4 linked regions of the Arabidopsis thaliana genome follow. The protein of the gene in region 1 interacts with the protein of each later gene in a biochemical or structural test. Each region holds a gene or a part of one and is shown on either strand. Other genes may lie near its edges.

Evidence for each region.
Region 2: of the proteins of MPK16 (region 1) and KAN, one has a biochemical effect on the other in vitro, tested with the Arabidopsis thaliana proteins (one large-scale study listed by BioGRID).
Region 3: of the proteins of MPK16 (region 1) and MMZ2, one has a biochemical effect on the other in vitro, tested with the Arabidopsis thaliana proteins (one large-scale study listed by BioGRID).
Region 4: of the proteins of MPK16 (region 1) and CPSUFE, one has a biochemical effect on the other in vitro, tested with the Arabidopsis thaliana proteins (one large-scale study listed by BioGRID).

Annotation. Positions count from the first base shown.
Region 1 is NC_003076.8:6,344,270-6,349,980, forward strand, and holds MPK16 (mitogen-activated protein kinase 16), read right to left. Parts: upstream 3,999-5,711; 5' UTR 3,408-3,998; coding exon 3,384-3,407; intron 3,228-3,383; coding exon 2,819-3,227; intron 2,731-2,818; coding exon 2,603-2,730; intron 2,511-2,602; coding exon 2,451-2,510; intron 2,309-2,450; coding exon 2,159-2,308; intron 2,090-2,158; coding exon 1,934-2,089; intron 1,851-1,933; coding exon 1,639-1,850; intron 1,555-1,638; coding exon 1,450-1,554; intron 1,368-1,449; coding exon 1,195-1,367; intron 1,114-1,194; coding exon 827-1,113; 3' UTR 501-826; downstream 1-500. Other genes in the region: BPM1 (BTB-POZ and MATH domain 1), read left to right, coding at 1-96, 191-372.
Region 2 is NC_003076.8:5,406,332-5,413,448, forward strand, and holds KAN (Homeodomain-like superfamily protein), read right to left. Parts: upstream 5,436-7,117; 5' UTR 4,762-5,435; coding exon 4,032-4,761; intron 3,928-4,031; coding exon 3,851-3,927; intron 2,969-3,850; coding exon 2,923-2,968; intron 2,046-2,922; coding exon 1,898-2,045; intron 1,344-1,897; coding exon 1,235-1,343; intron 1,136-1,234; coding exon 1,034-1,135; 3' UTR 532-1,033; downstream 1-531. Other genes in the region: AT5G16550 (voltage-dependent L-type calcium channel subunit), read left to right, coding at 1-43, 153-310. UniProt on the Arabidopsis thaliana protein: Transcriptional repressor that regulates lateral organ polarity. Promotes lateral organ abaxial identity by repressing the adaxial regulator ASYMMETRIC LEAVES2 (AS2) in abaxial cells. Required for abaxial identity in both leaves and carpels.
Region 3 is NC_003070.9:26,638,919-26,642,654, reverse strand, and holds MMZ2 (MMS ZWEI homologue 2), read right to left. Parts: upstream 2,061-3,736; 5' UTR 1,901-2,060; coding exon 1,873-1,900; intron 1,697-1,872; coding exon 1,557-1,696; intron 1,224-1,556; coding exon 1,098-1,223; intron 1,017-1,097; coding exon 890-1,016; intron 765-889; coding exon 706-764; 3' UTR 700-705; coding exon of another isoform or gene 674-699; 3' UTR 506-673; downstream 1-505. Other genes in the region: AT1G70650 (Ran BP2/NZF zinc finger-like superfamily protein), read right to left, coding at 706-764, 890-1,016, 1,098-1,223, 1,557-1,696, 2,594-2,970, 3,069-3,167, 3,253-3,387, 3,481-3,736. UniProt on the Arabidopsis thaliana protein: Has no ubiquitin ligase activity on its own. The heterodimer with UBC catalyzes the synthesis of non-canonical poly-ubiquitin chains that are linked through 'Lys-63'. This type of poly-ubiquitination does not lead to protein degradation by the proteasome.
Region 4 is NC_003075.7:13,381,695-13,385,684, forward strand, and holds CPSUFE (chloroplast sulfur E), read right to left. Parts: upstream 1,948-3,990; 5' UTR 1,878-1,947; coding exon 762-1,877; 3' UTR 504-761; downstream 1-503. Other genes in the region: UKL4 (uridine kinase-like 4), read left to right, coding at 2,809-2,965, 3,068-3,159, 3,448-3,517, 3,849-3,961. UniProt on the Arabidopsis thaliana protein: Participates in cysteine desulfurization mediated by NFS2 in chloroplast and NIFS1 in mitochondrion. Activates the cysteine desulfurase activity of NFS2.

The sequences.
Region 1 (5,711 bases):
CGGTTGCAACTACTTTGGCCCTAGCAGAGCAGCATCATTGTTTGCAGCTAAAAGCAGTGTGTCTCAAATTCGTGGCACTGCCAGAGAACCTGAAAGGTAAACACACAAGATCTTTCTTTTTAATCGATCTGAATCAACTCTGTTCACATGATGAGACTTGTGTCTGTTTTTTCCCTTTTGTTATGATCAGCTGTGATGCAAACAGATGGGTTTGATTATCTGAAAGAGAGTTGCCCATCTTTACTAACGGAGCTATTGCAGTATGTGGCGAGGCTAAGTGAACACTCTGTTATAGTATCTGGACATCGAAAAGAAATATTTGCCGATGGTTGTGACGCGAGTGGAAGACGAGTGAAGCCCCGGTTGCACTGAATGGGAGAGAAAGAAGAAAGATTTGTGCATTGTATAATCTCTGTTATGGATAATGGCTGATCTAATCGGATCTAGCAAGTACAATGAATCGTTTTCAACGCGTTTTCTCATAAATCAAAGATCCAATGAAATTTGGGGTTTATTGTTGGTGCATATCAGATTATTAGGTGAAACAGATTGAGTTCATGGGATATAAGAATCGTAGACAGTGTAAGTGTTACAACGTAGATAAACAAAGGTTGTTTTAAGAATACAAAACTATGAAGACAAATTACATGACAGGATCTGTAAGAACTTCTTTTATCTTCTCACGCTTCCTTCTCTCATTTCGCTCTTAAGCATGTCTTCACGTTTCGGCTCTTGATAACACAATGGATGACTCAAAGGGATACTCTTTTTAGCTCTCCCTGAGACGTGAGGTGGTAAAGCTAAAACTAGAACCATAACATCATGTTTAATACCAGCGACTCATTGCAGTATCTTGTGCTGCAGACACTTTTTGTGGTATATACTGAGTGTTTGGCTTCAATCTACTTGGACCTTCAGCAGCGGTGGCGCAATCTTCATCTCCTCTGTTGCTTTTGCAAGGTTGAGTCCTCTTTGGGTATTGAGACGCAGCAGCTGGATTTCTGACCATCCTTCTCTGTTGTTGTTCAAGAGCTTCAACGCCTGTGGCTGCGCCGCAGTTGTTATAGCGTAACACTGATCCAACTACTTTACCAGGCCTAGCTACTGCAGCACCTGCTTCATTACAACCAGATAAATGTTCAGGAGACAGAGTTATTCTGCATCATAACATTATATACAGAGAGGGTGAGAGACCTTGGATTGTTTGAGGGACGTTGATAGGAATTCTCGACATTGGCATCTGGGCATTCCTGTCTGCACCCCGAGGTCTCTCGTCTCTAATGCTACACTTGGAGAGTCCATCAGTGACTTCAGCTGAACTCTGTTGTGCCACCGGATGATTGTTATCAGAGTACAATACGCAAGCCCTGCAAAACATAAAAAGAGGCTTTGTTGAGCTGTTTCGAAAGAATCCCAAATGATCAAATTTTTAAAGGACGTAAAGCATACCTTGGTAATGATGCATGCTGTTGCCTCTCAGGGGGATTATGAGAAGTACCATTCTTGTAGTGTTCCTCGAGGTAAGCAAATTGTTTCTTGAAATGTTCCACCGCACTGCAGAATGAATAATACATTAACCATAAGAACATGGATAATACACAGGAGTATAGTATGAAGCAGGTCAGCTCAGGCCGGTACCTCGGGTACATAAAGTTAGTTGGCTCTGATCCATCCAAGTATTCTTTCAGCATCTTTGGGTGGTACTCCAGAGACTCTCTGTATATGAGCTCTCGGACGTCTTCTTTTGTGATCCTCCGCCTTTCAAACTCAAATTCCAACTTTGTGACAGGTTGAGCAGAAGGCTCTCTTTCAACCTTAGCTAAACCCTTGAAGTACACATCTGCAAGCGCCTGAGGTAACACATAAAACCATTTAGTTAGCTATAACCAAAGTTACATCATAAGGAGTGTAAAGAACGAAATGTATGAACCACCTCTTCAGCTGTAGGCCGGTCCTTGGGTTCAAAAGACAACATCTTTTCTAGAAGACGAAGAGCAAGAGGATCAGTATGTGGGAACTTATGTGAAAAAGGAATAGGCTTCTTCTTCCTCATGCTGCTCAAGTATCTTCGAGCTTTCTCGTTCCTAACCTGTTTCAGTGTAAGAAATTCAGCCAAAAAAAGAAACAATGCTTAAGCATTGTGGAAAGGAACACATACCCTTCCAATGGCTTCAGCAGATGGAGTTCCCAGCATATCCGTCATCAGATCCAATTGATGGACCACATTTTTCCCGGGGAAAAGAGGTTTCCCTGTTAAGAGTTCTGCAAAAATGCACCCGATGCTCCATATATCTATTGCCGGTGTATACTGAACAGAAGCATAGATAAAGAAAAAAAATGTTACCATAAAATTTTATAATCTGAATGAGAGAGCTATAGTGTCTACTGACTAGATTCCCTATGAAAATTTGAAACATTCGATGAAAGTATATATACAAAATCATGGTCACCTTTGAGAAAAAAGATCCACATAGTTCTGGAGCCCTGTACCATCGAGTAGCTACATAATCCTGCGATCAGAAAGCAGTAGGAATAAAAAATTGGTTTCATACCAAAAAGAGTAAACTTGTAAAGAGTAAGCATTTAAATTACTACTACTCACAGTCCAGAATATCGCAGTCGGTGTATCATTGAATGCGACTCTTGCAAGTCCAAAATCACAGATCTTGAGTTTGCAATCAGCATTTGCCAATATGTTTTTGGGTTTAAGATCCCGATGAAAGACATTAGCTGAAAGGAAGAGAAAAAAAAAGTATTTTCAGAAAGATAATCATAAACTTATACTAATCAATGAAATTTTATTGCTCGCTAGCTTAACCTGTGTGTATATACTTGAGGCCACGAAGAAGCTGATAGAGGAAAAACTGATAATGCTCAGGAGTCAAATCATCATTTGCCTTAATAACCTGATGCAAATCAGATTCCATAAGCTCGAAAACCACGTAAATGTCTCGAAACTCTCTTCTTGAAGGCGGCAACAAGATGTGTTTGATCTCAACAATGTCAGGATGGCGTAAGAGTCTAAGAAGTTTGATCTCACGAAGAATGCGAGTTGCATCCGAAACATGCTCAAAGATATCATTGATTTTCTTAATCGCAACTTTCTCTCCGGTATGTGTATCGTAAGCAGAACAGACAACTCCATAACTTCCTTTACCAATCACTTCCTCTATTCTGTATCTGCTTCCTTCACCATATTCCGTGAAGAAATCTACCTCAACTGATGACTGAATATACAGAAAAATCTATTGTCAATATCAAAAGCTTCAATACAGAGAAAGATTAGGACTAAACTAAAAGGCAGTAACAGTAAAAAGGATTGCTACAGATCCTAATCAGTTCTAATAAGCAAATCTGATACATAAGAGATTGAAAAATTGGACCTTTTTGCGGTGATCAGGCTGCATCTTCAGCTACAGGGCATTCAAAGGACGCTTACGAAGACCAAATGTAATAGCTTCTGAAACCCAAACTTAGTGAGCTTTTGAATCAAAAAAATGCAAAGACTGAGAATTTTAGTTCCAAAGGCAATGTCAAAAACAGAGAGCTCTATATCCAAATCCCGAAATCCAGAATCGATTGAAACAAATCAGAGTAGTTCCCGAGACCAAAAAAAAGGAGGCAAATTTATGGGGTGAAACAAGGAATAACCTAATCGAGATTTCTTTGCTTTTTGAAGTGAAATCAAAGAGATCAAAAGAAGGAAGCGATGGGTAATTTGAGAATCACTGAGATTGAAGAAAGACGAGGTTTTTATCTTCTTCGATCAATCTCTCTGCTTGAAATGGCTAAAAGGAAAAAGGAGAGAGTTTTTGAAAGTCGAGAGAAGCTTTTATGGTTCAGAAACCCAAAAATGATTCTTTTGAGCTAATAAAATTTCTTTACAGGATCTGAAATCTCACGAAGCAGACGAAGAGGCAAGTTTATTTGCTCACTTTTGTAGAAGAAAGTGTAGAGAGGAGAGATCTATGAGATGAAGAACAGAACAGAACAAATTATTAAAATATTATTATTATTCGTTTCTTTTATTGTGATAATTGAAAAAAGCGGATAAGTGGAGTCTGATTATCGTTGTACGAAAACTCCAATTTGCCCCCCAAGGTTTATGGGTACTTGCGACTTTTGTCTTAAATCTAGCTTTTGGATAATGTCCAAACGTCGAATATAATACAGTGTGGATATTTTTGTATAAACTATTTTAATATATGCTCTTCTTAATGAATAGATATCCGATTTATTATGGATTAGTGATGACTTATAATTATTACAATAATAAATAGTTCGTTTACTTTATAATTTTCTTTCGTGTCATAGTCGTTGTTAAAGACATATAAATGAAGTGGATTATCCTATATTTCGAATCCGATTGAAATGAGTGGTTTAAATTTTTTTTCGTATGCAGTTAATGAGTAATCTTACTTATTTTTAAGATATAGAATTTGACCGATAAGACATACTTAATTATCTAGAGACAATATTTATGAGTTATGTACAATGGTACAAGAAACTTACAAAAACTTATATATGCAATCGTCAATCTAGTATTTTATTTGAAATATGTATTTCGTATCTAATATCTTCTGTCTTTGGTGGGTTCTTTGAAATTGCTTCATAACTGTAGGTGCTTGCATGCGTAAACTTTTGCATGGTTGGAAAAATTGCATTTGCATCGATTTCAAACGTATAAATAAAGCGAAGCTTTAAATCTTCAAGTAGATGTCACTACAAGAAAACACGCCAGTTGCGAGGGAAGAAACCGTCGCTAGTCTCTCGCAAAAAGCATTTAGCGAGGGAATTGCGACGAACTCCAGTTCCTCGCAAAACGCGCGTCGTAAAATCAAATTCGTAGCAAGTTCCTCGCAAATGTTGCGAGGAACAAGTTGCCTCGCAAAACACACGCAATTTGCAAGGGAAGCAATCCGTAGCAAATTCACAGCAAATTTCGGGTCTCGCAAGTTTCTCGCTAGTTGCGACGGACGACCAGACTCGCGAAGCACACGCAATTTGCGAGGGACGTACTCGGTAGCATATTAGCTGCAACAGTAGCCTCGCTCTTTCCTCGCAAGTTGCGAGGGAATACTTCAGTAGCAAAGTAGTCGCAAATTCTTTGTCCCGCTAATGCCTCGCAAAATTTGCGATGGATTTGCGTGGCTTTTATCTGTAGTCGCAAATCCGTAGTAAAGTTTGCGATGGATTCGCGGTAAATAAGCGACTCTTTTCTGTTTTGTTTTAAGCATGATTACTGTTGAATATAGGGATTACTGTTCTACTTAACAATATTTAATGGTTATCTTAATTGGATTTTTATACTAAACTTTGAAGTTGAATACTAATTAAGAAACCTTAAACTCATATTTAAAAGCTGAAATTTTAGGTTTCAAGTACAGAAAAAGAAACTGAATACAGAATGTTAGAAGGCCAAATAATTTTACATAACAAACCAACAAAAGATTCAAGTTTTGATGAGTGAAAAAGAAACTTAATACAGAATGTTAGAAAGCCTCAGATGGAGATGACCCAGTGTTTGGGTTAGCTACAACAGCCTCAGGTTCGACAGCTTCAGGTCCGATCCCAGCAGTTGTGGCATTAGGCGCATCAGGTGGATTGGAGCTGACTGGTTCAGTTCTTGAAGAGGATCTGACTCGAAACAAGGCAGCAAACTCTGGATCCTTCTTGGCAAGGTAATCAAAGTATGCGTCAAAACTGGTGAT
Region 2 (7,117 bases), 940 kb from region 1:
ACCGCTACAGTTTCTGCTGTCGTTTCTGTCTTAATAGCTTCAGGTTGGTTATATACTCTGCTCTGATTCTGTTTTGGAATCTTGTAATGAGTGACACTCCAAGTTACTTCCTATATGTATTGAAGAATGAAATGAATTTGGTATTGGATCAGGTTGGATTGGGTTTTTCTATGCGGTGTGGTTGGGAACAAGAGGAAGCCTACGCTTGGCTAAGCAATCGGTTTCAGTGGTGGGATCAGCCATTTCAGGTAACACTATCAGTCGTCATCAACACCAAGACCGGGAGGTAAACATCGAATCAACCAACTGAGAATCCGTCCTTACCGCGTTTGTAAATAAACCCCGACTTTTGGTTGTTAATGGAAGCTTGATATAAATATGATCTATGGAGTTTGTTGTGAAGAAGCAGAGAAAGAATGATAAGAATATTTCAAAATGCAACTTGAAACATTTTGTGATCAATGTCTACGGATTTTTGGATCTATGTATGCATACATTGTGTGTTTTATGTACTTAAGAAAGAATAATGATCAGTATCCATATGAAATCTCAACTCAGATCTCTCCCTCTCTCTACATTTCGGCTGCAAAAAAAAAAAAAAAAACTTGAAACCCTCTAGCCAACCAAGAGGCTTTCAAAAAAATATCCAAACTTTCACCACATTTTGATGATCTTCCAATTATATAACTTATGATCACACCACCAGATCAACCTCAAAAAACTAAAAACCCGAAAACCCAAAAACAAAAACTCATACATTGATCATCCACTTTATAATCAAATCATCAATGGAACTTGAGAAGAGGAACCTCCAAATTTCTTCATTTTGGTAGTGATATTCTCTCTCTCTGTGCAAAAATCAACACTCTTGAGCAGCTTGGCTCTCTACGTGTTCTCCTTCTTTTACGCTGAGAATTTCATCGTCACAAAGATATATACTGCATACATGTTTCTGAGTATATATAGAGAGAGAAAGATGAAACAAAAAAATAAAAAATCCAATATATATAAAAATCCAAATTGATCAAGAAAGTCATTTCTCGTGCCAATCTGGTCTGCCTAATGTAAACTCCAAACTTGGATTTTCACAACTAAGATTTCCACACCTCTTTGCTTGATCATTCGACCTTTGCTCCTGCCAATTTTAACTTTATATTAGATTAAAGGACAAAAAAAACACTAAGAAAGGCAATATCTATCTATACAAATATGATTAGATGGGAATTATCAGAACCTGATTTTGAATGCTGGATCTTTGATAATGAGAGATCATTGATGTTGATGAAGTTCTGATCATTGTATCTATGTCGCTTGAGCAGTTATTACTTAATGGCCATGTCTCTCTATTTTATGATTTAAGAAAAGAAAGAAAACAAATTAAGGACAAATTGTATTTATTGATGTATAGATGCCCTAAAAATAAAATAAAAATCACTACACACAAATTGCGTTTTTTTGCAACTTGCTATATGACCACAATCTACATGTCATACTTATGAAGCAAAATTCGTTTATCCTAGTCTTCCTAGATGAATCTTAAGAACCCAAACCAAATTATAATTAAAAAAAAAAACTTGGTACATATAATTAAAGTTCATCAGCCATAAACCCTAACCAATTTCATCTCATTGTAACCAAAACCATCACTCAAATTTTTTCCCCTTAAACTGAACGAAAACAAACTTAAAATATCATCTAAAAACTATTTTTGTTAGAAGAAAATGGATAGATGTGGGATAAACCAAACAATTGTCGTATGAATTACTTGGTAGGAAGTAGGAACAATTAGGTGAGAGAACCCTAAACCCTATCTCAAATTTCGTCAATCTTATTCTTACCTAATGTTTATATATACTTATCGTGTGTATAATACATGTACGTATATACGTAAACGTACCGTGAAGAGTTACTCCAACGAGGTTGTGTGGAAGAAATGTCAGTTTCTTGATGAAGAGAAGTATCATCAGATTGTGCCCTTTGATCCGTCGATGATTGATGATGAACTTCGTTTCCATTTATGCCCATTTCTTCTTCTCCTGACCCATCTGAAATTTTATTTTAACTTTTTATCAAGTTTCGTTGTCTCAAATCAATCACTTATACCCTATAAGGAATCTCATTTAAAACTGAACGATTCTTGTAAGCTTTTTTGTAAAAGACAATGCAGTGAAGAAATTGTTTTTCTTAAAAAATAATTTCAGCATTTCGTGTTGACCAACCTAATATGTGTCTCAAAAAATAGTTTTACAGACTCGAAAATTGTGCCAAATAAACTTTTAATTGGTTAAAGAAAATCCATATGAAACAAGTGGTTTTTCTTTATTCTTAATTCATGAACTTTGCTTGGATATGAGTTTACACTTCACACGTTTTAAATTTAATCTTTTACTCGATTTTTTTTTCTTAGAGAACATCAATATTGGGGATATATGTTTGTTTGGTTTGCTTTGAACTTTGACCACTCAACTTTAGGGTTCAATCAAAGGAAGGATAAAAGCCTTGAGCTTGACCAATATCTTAGGGCTCGTTTTTTATTATTTTGGGGAAAGGGAATAGTAGAAATAGTAGAATCAAATAGTAAAAATAACAGAAATAATTTCACGTCATTATATCTCTACATACATACAAATATCGAATCACAGCTTCAAATTCTGATTGAGAACTAATTTCTTATAAATATTGTAGTCAAAAAAAGCTATAATAGTGATTATATTGGACCTCCATTTCTATAAAATTCTGGTGGAGAATCCTAAGCTTTATTGTATATCTGTCTTATGTTATTTTTTGGTGAATTGTATATCTTTCTTATTAAAAGCCAGTACCATTTCTTTAGCATATATAAAGCTGAAAAAAGCTATACTAAAGAAATGTGAATATGCATAACATTATATGTGTGTGTGTGTGTAAAGGAATCACACGTACCTGATGAAGCAGCAGGCTTGTTAGTGGTCTTAACAGTTCGATACATCTGCAAAAAAAAAAAAATTAAAGGCATGATGAGAGCTCTAAAACTAGAATAAACCATAAATCCAATTAAAGACACAGGAAAAAACCAAAATAAATATCGGACAAAAGATACTGATAAACTAAATAGATTTATTTTTGTATAATGTGATACAGAATTACAGATGACAAACTGGAGAGATATATGCAGACACATATGAACTTTATATTATTAAATAAATAATATATGTAGTACATATGTGTGGTTTTCTGGGTTTGTCTTGGAACTGATGATGTATATATAATTAATTATTTATGATTTTAAGACCACGAGGTTGATGTCTGAAAGAAGGTTGAGTAATAGAAAGATTGTATTATTATCATTGAGTAATGATGACTACTTTTGTCCCCTCTTCCTAATTTAAAAAAGAAAAAATGAATTATAATCCAAAATAACTTCTATCTATCATCTCAATTCTCCATTGTTTAATAATTCTCTGAAAGGTTTCAGTCACTTAAAGCTATAACTACTCTCTCTTTTTCTCTCTTTAAATTCATTCAACTGCTTCAATTTTCTTGGCAATTGTGCCATCTCTTCCAAAATATGACTAAACTTAAAGCAAAGACAAAACAAGAAAATAAAAGTAACACATCAGAATTGGAGCTCTATTCATTGCTCTGATGATATATACGTACACAAAAACCTTGTTTCTTGATTCAGCTGTTTTTGTGCAAAACGCAAAGGAGAAGAGAGTGACATGATGGTGATGAAAACTATGAAATATCCCTAATTATAGAAAATCTTGATTGGTAACGAACTAACTCGACTAGATTAAACCTAAATTAACAAATAAAAATTGATTCTTTGTTGTGTCTAATTTAATTTCAAATAGAGTATAGATTATACCTGCAAATGGCTCTTCACATGTGCTAAAGTTAAGTCTTTTACATCCATGAGCTCAAGAACCGACTTTGGAGTTGCTCCTAGAATCACAACAACAACAAGAATAAAAGATTTAAGACTTTGAGAATAAAGTGAAGAAAAATGGGAATGATCATTAGAATGTGATTATGATATAAATGTGTACTTTCATGGCCGCCTAGAAGCTCAACAGCGTGAACAAACCGCGCGTGGAGGCTACTAGTCCAACGCATCCTTGGAGCTCTCATGCTTCGCTTTGTCGGCATCTTAGGCAAGAATCTTGATCTGATCATCCCATGATGATGATGGTTATGGTGATGAGGAGAAGACGAATCTGAAGATCCAACGACTCCATACTGATTATGATGATGATGATGATGCAAAGGAACACCTTTAAGCCTCGGGGAAGATTGTAATGATCGGTAAGCGTTGTTGTAGCCGGAAGATGAGTTTAAGATTGAGATTTGATCCATGTCTCCTCCTCCAAGAGAAGGTAATGAAGAGTTTTGTTGGTGGAAAGGGAATGAACGGTTGTGATAGACCGGGATGCCTCTAATTGGACGGTGGAGATTACTAATCTCGGATTCATCGACCCTTTGATGAACACCATTGATGATAGGGTTGTTGTAATGCTGCTGATGAGGAAGATTAAGGGTTCTTCGATCAGGACAATGGAAGATTCTTGCTGTTGGATGGTTATGATGAGATAAAGAGAGTTCAAAGTTGGACGATCGGTTGTTGTTTTCGAGTTGGGAGGATCTTCTTGAAGATTCTTTAGAAGATTCATTGTGATGGTATTGATGAATATCTGGGAGACTGATGTGGAGAGATAGATCAGGGAGAGTAGTTGTTGTGTTTGTTTTGGTTTTCTCTAGAAAAACACCTTCCATAGACATAATTAAAGAAACCTTTCTCTTGCTATTGCTGCCACTGAAGTTGTTGATGATGATAAGGATGATGATGGTGATGATGATGATGACTATTCTTTTGTTTTTTTTTTCTCCTGAGGGTTTTGCTTAGGAATTTAAAATGATTTTCTCTAAGGAGAAGAGAAAGCAGAGAGATTCTTTAGGCAAAGAAGTCAAAAGGGTGTCTGAAAGATTTGATATTTTTTTTGTTCTCTTTCTCTCTCTATATCTCAGAAAGAAAGGAGAAAGTGAGAGAGATGAAGTTAAAGAGAAGCTTAGAAGAAGAGAGAGAAGTTGAGTGATGATCTTCTTGAAGAAACAAACATGCTCAAAGTAAGACGCAGAGAGAGAGAAAAAGAAGGAAGAGAGAGATAGAGAGAGGTATGTGTGTTGTGAAGCAAAGGCAGAAGAGAAAAAAGGAATAAAACTAAATCCAGGAAAATTAAAAACAGGTAAGAGAGAGAGATATATGTGTGTTCGTTCATGTACATGTATGTGTATGTGTATGTGTGAGATGTTGTTCCTCGAGAGTATATCTTGGAAAACGATAGTTGAGAAAGGGTAATATTGTCATTCGCTATATTCCAAATATTGGAAGCTTTTTATTTTATTTTGGGATGGTATTTCAATTTGTCTTTTTCACCTTTCAACAAGTAAACCCATCTATCAATATAATATAAATTATTTTACGGCTAGATTAATTGATTTCATGTTTTAGTTTATTCGTTTAAACTACTGAAATTTTGATTTCCATAGATAAAGTTGAAGAATAATAGCAAAATAAATCTTGTTTTCTATCAATTTAGTAGATGAAATTTTCAAATGTAAAGTGTATTTAATAATCGACCAATTTCATAGATGAAAAGCATACAACTTTTAACAATAAAAATTAATACGATTATCATCCATTAAAACCTTAACAATTTGAGTAATAAATCAAAAACTCAATTGATCTTTAAAATAATAATGTTCACAGATTATCATGAAGAATAATAATTAAAAATGTTGGAGAAGAGTACAAGAGGAGAGAGAATAAAGGGTCGCTCTCTTCTGTCCTATCTAATCTATAGTCAAAGCAAAAGCCAAAATTAAATTAAATAAATAAATAACAAGAAGAAAAAAACAAACACAAGACCTATTCTAAAATAAATAAAAAGTTTCATTATAACCAAAAAAAAATAAAATAAAAAAAGAGAGAGTGCTTTGATTTTGGTACCCCGGAGACGACGGGATACATATGTTGAGACTTGAGAGAGAGAAAGAGACTGTGTCCTCTCTGACTCCTTTTTTATTTTCTCCCCCACTCTCTTCGCTTCTCACTTCACTCTCTATTCACATCTTATTATAATAATTCCTTATACGATTTTGGAATCAAACAAATTCAAGTTTCTGACCGTAGATTGTTCAACTATACCTAAAGAGATAAATATACATTAAATATCAGTACGTTCTTGAGTTTATGAATAGCTCGTATAGACATTTAGTTCCTAGAGATGTGACTACAATATCAACCGGCTACTTGTTTGACCGTTTTGTGTTGTCTATCAATTAGAGCCAAATCGAAGTCATATACATGTCGCTTTAAAATACGTACTTGAAAAGAAATAAAATTAGGCAGATTTATATATATTTTTGACTTGTTTGTGTCGAATGTAATAATGTATGCATTCTAGTGTTTCTGTTTTCTTTGTACTCGACATTTTTACATTCACATTGTTCGTTTATAATTCTACAAAAAAAATTATGGAGTTGACTTTATCTACTGTGAAACAGAAATATGTCATACTGAAAAATAATGAAAAATATACAAAATTGAATAGTATTTAACTATTCGTATGTTTTTGTCAAAGAATTATTATATTTTTTTATCCCACTTTTAATTTGGAATATATAAACTCTGTGTTTTGCCTTCCAAAGGTACGGAAATTATTGTCTTAGAAAGTATCTTTCTCTTCAAATACATACATATATGCATACGTGTGTACAATACAAGGTGCCCTCGTACGTATATAAACCAAGTGTCATATAAAGAATTCGATCAATTATTGTAACGTAACATGCATGCTTTTAGATTATACGTGAAGTTAAATATATATTAGACCTAAGAAAATACTCAGCCAGAAAGTGGATTTTGTTTGTTTCCCTTAATAAACAAAAACAAGTGAACCCTAAAGAACCTAAATATTTGCTTCTAATTCCCTTTTCATTCTCCCAAATATTCCTTCTCAATTTAATAACTCTTTTCTAATTTTCTTTAAATTGTCTTCTAAGAAAAAAAATAAACTATTCACTCCTCACATGACCATATCAATACAACATCTCGACAAATCATTAATGCCTTGAA
Region 3 (3,736 bases), on another chromosome or scaffold:
AAAACTGGTTAAGTTAAAGAGGTGTTCGACTTAGCATCGCTATTTTGTAGAATTTAGTTACATATATCTAATCATTCCGCTACTTAACAATCGCATGCATCGACTCGAGTATCATATATTCATATCTATAAGTCGGATTTGTTGCCTTGTTTAGTATTGCTATTTGTCAAATCTATCAGTCGGATTTGCCACTGCCGTTTCAACTGCATGTTCTACGTGTTCTGTATGTCTGTCTAATCGATCTCTAAACACTTCAAATTGTTCGCATATTCTCTAACCACACTGCTTAAAGTTTGGTTCTCAAGATCCGAAGAGTAGAATGTGTCTACAACTACGTGACTATAACGAACATCTTTCATCATTCTTCCCAAATGAAAAAGTAATTACCTGCAACTTTTGCTTTATCAATTATATGCAAAAGGCACTTCTTTTGATACGACCTTCAATCTCTATGTCCTCCAAAGTAGGCCGCATACACTCACACAAAAGTAAAAGACCAAAAAAAGTGAAGAAGAGTGGAGGTTTATTAAGGGCACCTGTTTTTGGTGAATATATTCTCAAATATTACATAATACATAATCAAATGGTAGGATTAAGAAGGCCTATAGAAGAAAGGGTTCTTAGGCCAATCTCAAAGCCCTTCAAATGCTGTTTATATACATTGTTTTGTCTCTTAAATTCTTATAAATTCCTCATTACCTCTTTTCACATCACGCAACATTTCACCACTAGTCCCTTTGGGTCTGTCCTGCCTTCCTCATTACCTGATGATACATTCAGTTTTGGTTAGAAAAACTATGATATGTGGCTCTTTGCTCAGAGCATAGCCAGTGCGGCTAAACCGGGTTAGGAAAGTGTAATCCCATATACCTAAACTAAAGAAAATTACCTTCCAAGGGTTGAGCTAACTTGCGGTTCTGCGATGACATCATTTCTTTTTTAAGCTGAATCAGTAGATCCTCCATTGTGAATTCTCTTCTCCAGTTGGAAAGCATAGGGAAGTGACTCGGATCAACCTGATCGTTCAGTTTAACCAAGATGAATATTTTGCAAAACAAGATCCTCTTATTACTAATATTGTTAGTTCAAAAGCTTACCACTCCATTCTCAGGATTGACACAAGCCATGTTTATACGACTCTGAAACCTCACAGTAGGTGGACTTTCCGGATAATCCTTTCCACAGAATAGCTTCAGCTGAAAGATTTTCCCTTCATACGCAGTCTGATAACAAAAACATCAATCTTTCTTCTCAAATACCAAAAGTGGAAACAAATACTTCAATTCATTTCCCTTTTTGTCTCTTCTCATTCACCAAAATTGGTTTTAAAATGCTACATAAGGTTACTAAACTCAGCTAAGGATCATTTGAAGTTAAATTAAACCCTCGAATTATAGTGACAAACAAGTAGCAAAAAATTGCATCTTTTAAGTTAAACATTTGGAAAGGTTCTTGCTTTAGCATTAAAAAATGCATCTTTATTCAAATCTACCATAGATATTATCATTTAAGTTAAACAAAAGATGAAGAGATAGATTGAGAAGAAGAAAACTAACATTATGAGGACCAAGAATGGTACCAGTCCAAGATTGCATCAAAATATCATCAGCATCATCCATTCCATAACTCACTGTCCCATCTCCAATTCCTTTCTCACCTCTTTCTAGCTCTTCCAATAATCTAAAGTTTCTGGGAACTGCAAACCACACAAAATCAATCAAAGATACAAATGATCAACAACGATATAGAGTGACTTCGCAATCTGTGTAATCAAAATCGTTACTTTAAACCTAAGGAAGCAATAAAGTAAAACCCTAGATTCCAAATCAAAGAGACTAATCGAATCAAAAAAAAAAATTGGATTAGACTTACCAACGACCTTCTCTTCTTCCGAACCCATTTGGCTGAGATGATTGTAGTGAAATTACAGAGTAGTATCTGAAGGATGGATTCGGCTAGAGAAGATGAAGAAGAACAGAGAAGAGAGAAAGAGAGAGAGTCTAACAGCTACTGTTCATCAGACAGGATATGAATTGTGAAAAATGGAAGGAAGAAAAAAGAGAGAGAGTTGGTCAAGTGCTTCTAGTCGTACAGTGGTTGTATTTTGTAACCCCACTTTTTCTCCACCACTTCCAACAAATGTATAATTTTAATTTATTTTTTTATGACTTCGTAAAGTTTAATTAAATAATACGAAAATTATTATTTTGAGAATTATTTGTACTGTCGATATCTCATTATTGAAAAAAAAAAAAAGCACTATGACAAAATATGAACCAACCATAACAAAGACAACAATAGATGGTGTAGTAGTGGTGCTTCTTGCTTTGTTTTGGTGGTTGTTGTTTACGCTCTGTTTTGACTTTTTTGCTTTGTATGTATGTAGTTGGAGTTTTCAACAAACTCTCTGTTTCGAGTTTCTTTTCAGACGAAAAAACAAATGTCCAAATCAAACCAACCAATGAACCAATAATAAAACACTAGAAGAAACAAACAGATGGATGTGGTTACAAATTTATAAATTCAATTTAAGTCGATCTATCTTGTTTTGAAACAAACCAATCATCCATCTCTCCATCATCACTAATGTTACCAAGAAGTTCATTTCTTCTCCGATCATAACATTTTGACTCTGTTTCGTTCTTCGTATTATCATCTTTTTTCGCTTTAGTCCCATTGCTTCTAATTCTCTGTGTCATCTCCAACTTCCATTGCTCTCTCTTTTCTGCGCTCTTTGAAACATTGCTTCTCCCTCCCTCTACTGGAAATCCCATGAAACCATCTTCTTCTTCCTCTTCTTCGCCATTGCATCGTTTTACACTCTCTTCTTCTACAAAGCTCCACGTCTTTGTAACTCCGCTTTGACGATCAGCAACTGTCTTTGAATCCGGAGTGACGTTTGCAGCCTTTTGTCTCTTGTGATCACACTTCAAACATATAGAGTTTCTTCTAAAATTGATGTAATTGCACCTGATGATGTATAGAAACATTATCAATTTCCAACAACGATCGCCAGATTTTAAGACTTTAAACAGCATTTAGTTTTAAGGTTTAAGGAGGTGACTCACGACTCGCATTCCCACTCTCCGGGATTGATTTGACGCAATGTAGGCTTGTCTTTGCACCTTAAGCATCTCGTGTTTTTCGAAAAGTTCAGGAAATTACATCTGTGCAAGTAAAACAAAAATCTTAAACATGTTTTCATGGTTTTAATCAGATTAAACACTAACCGATGAAACAGTTTGTCCTCACGTTTGACAAATCCAATCTCCTTTCTTCAGTGGGAGATGATCTTTTTGTTCTTCCTTCAACTGTTTAAGCCTTTCCTCAGAAAAAACATCACATCGCAAGCATCTTATGTTTTTCGCAAAATTTAGAAACTTGCATCTGCCCAGTTCATAATACAAAAAAGAGCCCAAAGATTAACATCCCTGAAATCGAATCATAAACATTACCAAGCAATGCAGTAAGATTACTTACTCTGTACAATACCAATCCCCTGGCCTTTTTCGTGGATCTCTTTCATCAATGTCCTGTGAATTTGGCTGGAGCTCATCTCCAGCTGTCTCAGTCTCAGCAGATTCAAAATCTGTTAAGCTATACGCTACACTTTCTCTGAGCAACTTCCTCACAGAATCTTCAACAAGTTTGGTTTGACAGGCACGATTCTCAACAGTAGGAGAAATGGAATCAAGCCCATAAGTTAGCAGTAAACGCATGACATCTATAGTTCGAG
Region 4 (3,990 bases), on another chromosome or scaffold:
AAAAAAAAAAAAGATACAATGGTCTCAGGAAAGAAAAGTTGCAGAAATTGGTTGGCTAAAACCACAGCTGGTTTCACTAGACAGGTATGTAAAGCTGATTGTATATAAAACCCCACAAGTCTCAGCTAATGGGGCTTTAAGAAACATCACATGTCTAACGGTAGACTGAAACAGGGATCATCTGAAACTCCTTTCACATTTTTTACTTATTTTATCAGAAAGAAGTAAAGCAACCAAATCTCTTTCTTTTTTTCTGTAGTCCCTCAAACCAACTTGCATCACTTGATTAGACAATACCAACTTTGAGTATCTAGATTCTAGAAGAATTAAAAAATGAACAAGAAACTTCGCATGTCTAATGGTGGCATGAATATAGTACCATTTTTCTCCCCAAATTCCTTTTTCGCTTTCCCTAGGTGCTGTGATCTTTCTAACGATTCAAACTTAGCCAAATGGACAACAACCTTGAGCATTCTCTCTATTCATCTCTCAAAGCGTAGGTACAAAACTTAATATCAGGAAACCATATCAAAACAAAAAAGACCTTGACCCTCATAAGATAAAGGGAAATCAGTTTGAAAATGGTGAATCATGTGGCGATTGGCGAAAACATTATTTATATCCTTCAATATCTATCTCTCATTTAACACAATCCTGATCGAGCTCTTAACATTATTAGAAGGTCCAGAGAACAATATCCAAAGCAAATGGACCAAAAGAAGTAAAAGAATCAGGACCTGACTTCTTCCAATGTTACACCCTCAAACCTCAGCAGGAGTCTTTGCCACAATAGAGAGAGCATGTAACCCGCTCTTCAACTCATCTTGCAACAAGTCATATATCAGCCTATGTCTCTTGACCAAGCTTTTACCTTGGAAAGCATCCGAAACGATTCGCAAGTTGAAATGTGTTTCCCCATCATCACCAGCACTACCTCTAACAGCGGCATGTCCTGCGTGCTGGTAAGAAACATCTTCAACTTCTAACTCAACAGGATCTAGCTCCTTCTCCAATTTCTCTCTTATCCTCATCCCTCTACTCCCTAAAGCAACAACATTTGACCCACTCTCAGAATCATCAATCTTTTCTGTTCCCAAATCCTCAACTAGATCAGGTTTAGACTCCAAATCCACCTCCGGAACATTAGCTTCGTCCTTAGTCTCAGGAATAGACACAAAGCTGGATTCTGAACTCTCTCCAGAACTTGAATCTTCCTCACCTTTGACTTCCAAATGAAGAGCCTTTTTCTGCATCAGCTTAAGCATATTAAGTAATCCATTGTTTCTAGAAGGAGACAGACTCTGCTGCAACCCGAGAAGAACAGCGAAATCAGGTGTTATCCTCAAAATCTCAGGGACAGGTCTTCCAGATAAACCCTTGACTAATAGAGCAGCTAACCCTTTAGTGAGAACCGAATCAGAATCAGCTTCATACACAACATTACGTTCCTCATCAAAGAAAGCCCTAACCCAAACCTGAGAAACACATCCTTCTACTTTATTCTCCCTCGTCTTGAATTGAGAATCGAGAGGTGTCAGATTCTTCCCGTAGAACATAAGCTGCTCGTATTTAGCCTTTGGCTCTTGTACCGATTGGAAAAGCTTGACGATCTCTTGTAGCTTCGGTGGAAGCTCTTCGATTGGTTGAAGGTCTCCATAGCTCGACGGAGATGATGAAGCCGATGGTGGAGGAACAATCCCGGTTGAAATTTTCTGGAAAGTGATGATCGTCCGGCGAAAGGAAGGAACTTCCGACGGTTTTAGTGGTCGTAGAAGAAGGGTTTTGGCCGGATAATGGATTGAAGAAAACAAGGTCCGTTTGAATGGGATTAAACGAAGCGAGGAAGCGCAACAAGAAGAAGACATCGCTGCTGCCATAGTCGCGAACTTGAAACTTCGAGAGAGACTGAGATGATGATGAAAGCTCTCCTTCTTCACTTTTTCTGAGTCAAAAACCAATACCGCCAATTAGGTAGTAACCGGGAATTAAACCGGGAATGTACCAAAATCCAAAAATTAGATGTAAAATCAATTGTGGGGTTGATTATGAATAATTAGAAAGTATACGACTCTTTTCATAAATAAGGAAAAGAAAAAGATATCTAGATTTTTTTTGTTTTGTTTTGAAGCATCGTCTTCCTGGTTCTTCGTTCTCTTGCGTTCGTCACCTCAAACACGTCCGCCATTATTATATATCAAATCAATCATGTCCGAATCCAGCTTTTACCAATGTAAGCAATTAAATTAAATTAAATAAAAACACTTTTATCAAATTTAATCAAATTAAAAAACTGTCCCTTTCTTATCTGAGATTCTATTGTTTCTGTCTACTTCCACAGAAAGAAACTGCATCTCCGTTTTTTTTTCTGATTTGAGGCTTTCCTTAGATCCTTGAGAGCAAAACTGAATCTGGGTAATTTTAAAAATCTCATTTTTACGACTTATCTCTTTTGAACGATCTGTTTTTTCATGTAAGTACGATTTCACCTCGAGATGATCGATCATTGCTCTTCTGGTTCTTCCATGTTTGATTAAATGTTATAACTTGAGGGTTTTGTTTCTTTTGGATTGTTCTCGCATTTGTTGATCTATGGTTATCAAAAGAGTTTGGATTTACAGTTTTTGGTTGCAGCTGAAATTTTTCACTCTTTTCTTCTCTGTTTTGCTGGATAAAGTTGGATTTGATTCACATTGTTGTTTAGAATCTAGATGAAGTTGTAAGATTCCTTGTATTGTGTTTGCTTATGCATGATTGTGATAAAGATTTAAGTTATTTTACCAATGTACAATGTCCAGAATTGTCGTCGGGATGGGTTCTAAGTCCGTTGTTGACATGATCGAAGCTGCCTCGCGGGCACATTTTTCTGGTTTACACGTGAATGGGCACATGAATGGGTTGGAACCAAGTGCACTTAAGGAAACCACTTCTGCATCAGAAGATATCCAAAGACAGCCTTTTGTAATAGGTGAGTTCTGCTTTTGCTTTCATTTTTGATTAATATATGGTCGTGGATAAAAAAAGCTTGACGAATGGTCTTGATTGATATGTTGTGACTTGAATTGGTTAGGTGTTGCTGGAGGCGCAGCATCGGGAAAGACTACTGTTTGTGATATGATAATCCAGCAACTGCACGATCAGCGTGTTGTACTTATTAACCTGGTAATTTTGTTTTGCTAATAAAGTTTCATAGAGCTAAGTGATAACCACCGGTTTGATTTGTGTTTCGAATGTATATGAAGTCAATTGAATTCCACACAATTTAGAGATCTAAAAGGAGAATATTACCAGCTAATAACTTATATATGGCTGAAGTTTAACATTGTTCAACCTTGTCACCATTGTTTAGATATTTATGTCAGTCTATTTATCTAATTCTCAAATTCCTTTGGCATCATGATAAACCACAAATTGCTCGACTTAATATCCTATGATAATGATTTTTGGCAGGACTCGTTCTATCATAATCTGACTGAAGAAGAACTTGCTAGAGTTCATGAATACAACTTTGATCATCCAGGTGAGAATATATTTGGAGTGTAATTGCTTTCTGTAATCTACTCTTGTCAATACATAGTGTCATCAGGAGTAAAAAATCTTTCCTAGCTTCTTTGGCCATTTTTTTTTTTTTTATAATACTTCTTTGGGATAATTAAGGCATAACTAACAGCCATATTATTCAGTGATATCTTACTAATTGATGTATTCTCTTTTATTAAAGCAATTTCATCCCTGACAGCACATTACTAGTTGCTGGGAGTTATGAGAAAAAGTCTTGTGCATTACTCTTTGTCATCCACCGTTAATTTCTTTTTATCCAGGATTCTAATGAATTGTTGTTGTTTCTGTAGACGCATTTGACACAGAGCATTTATTGTCTTGTATGGAGAAATTGAGGCAAGGGCAAGCTGTAGATATTCCAAAATATGATTTTAAAACTTACAGGAGCAGTGTTTTCAGAAGGGTACCACCTTCCCTCTCAGCATCACTCAT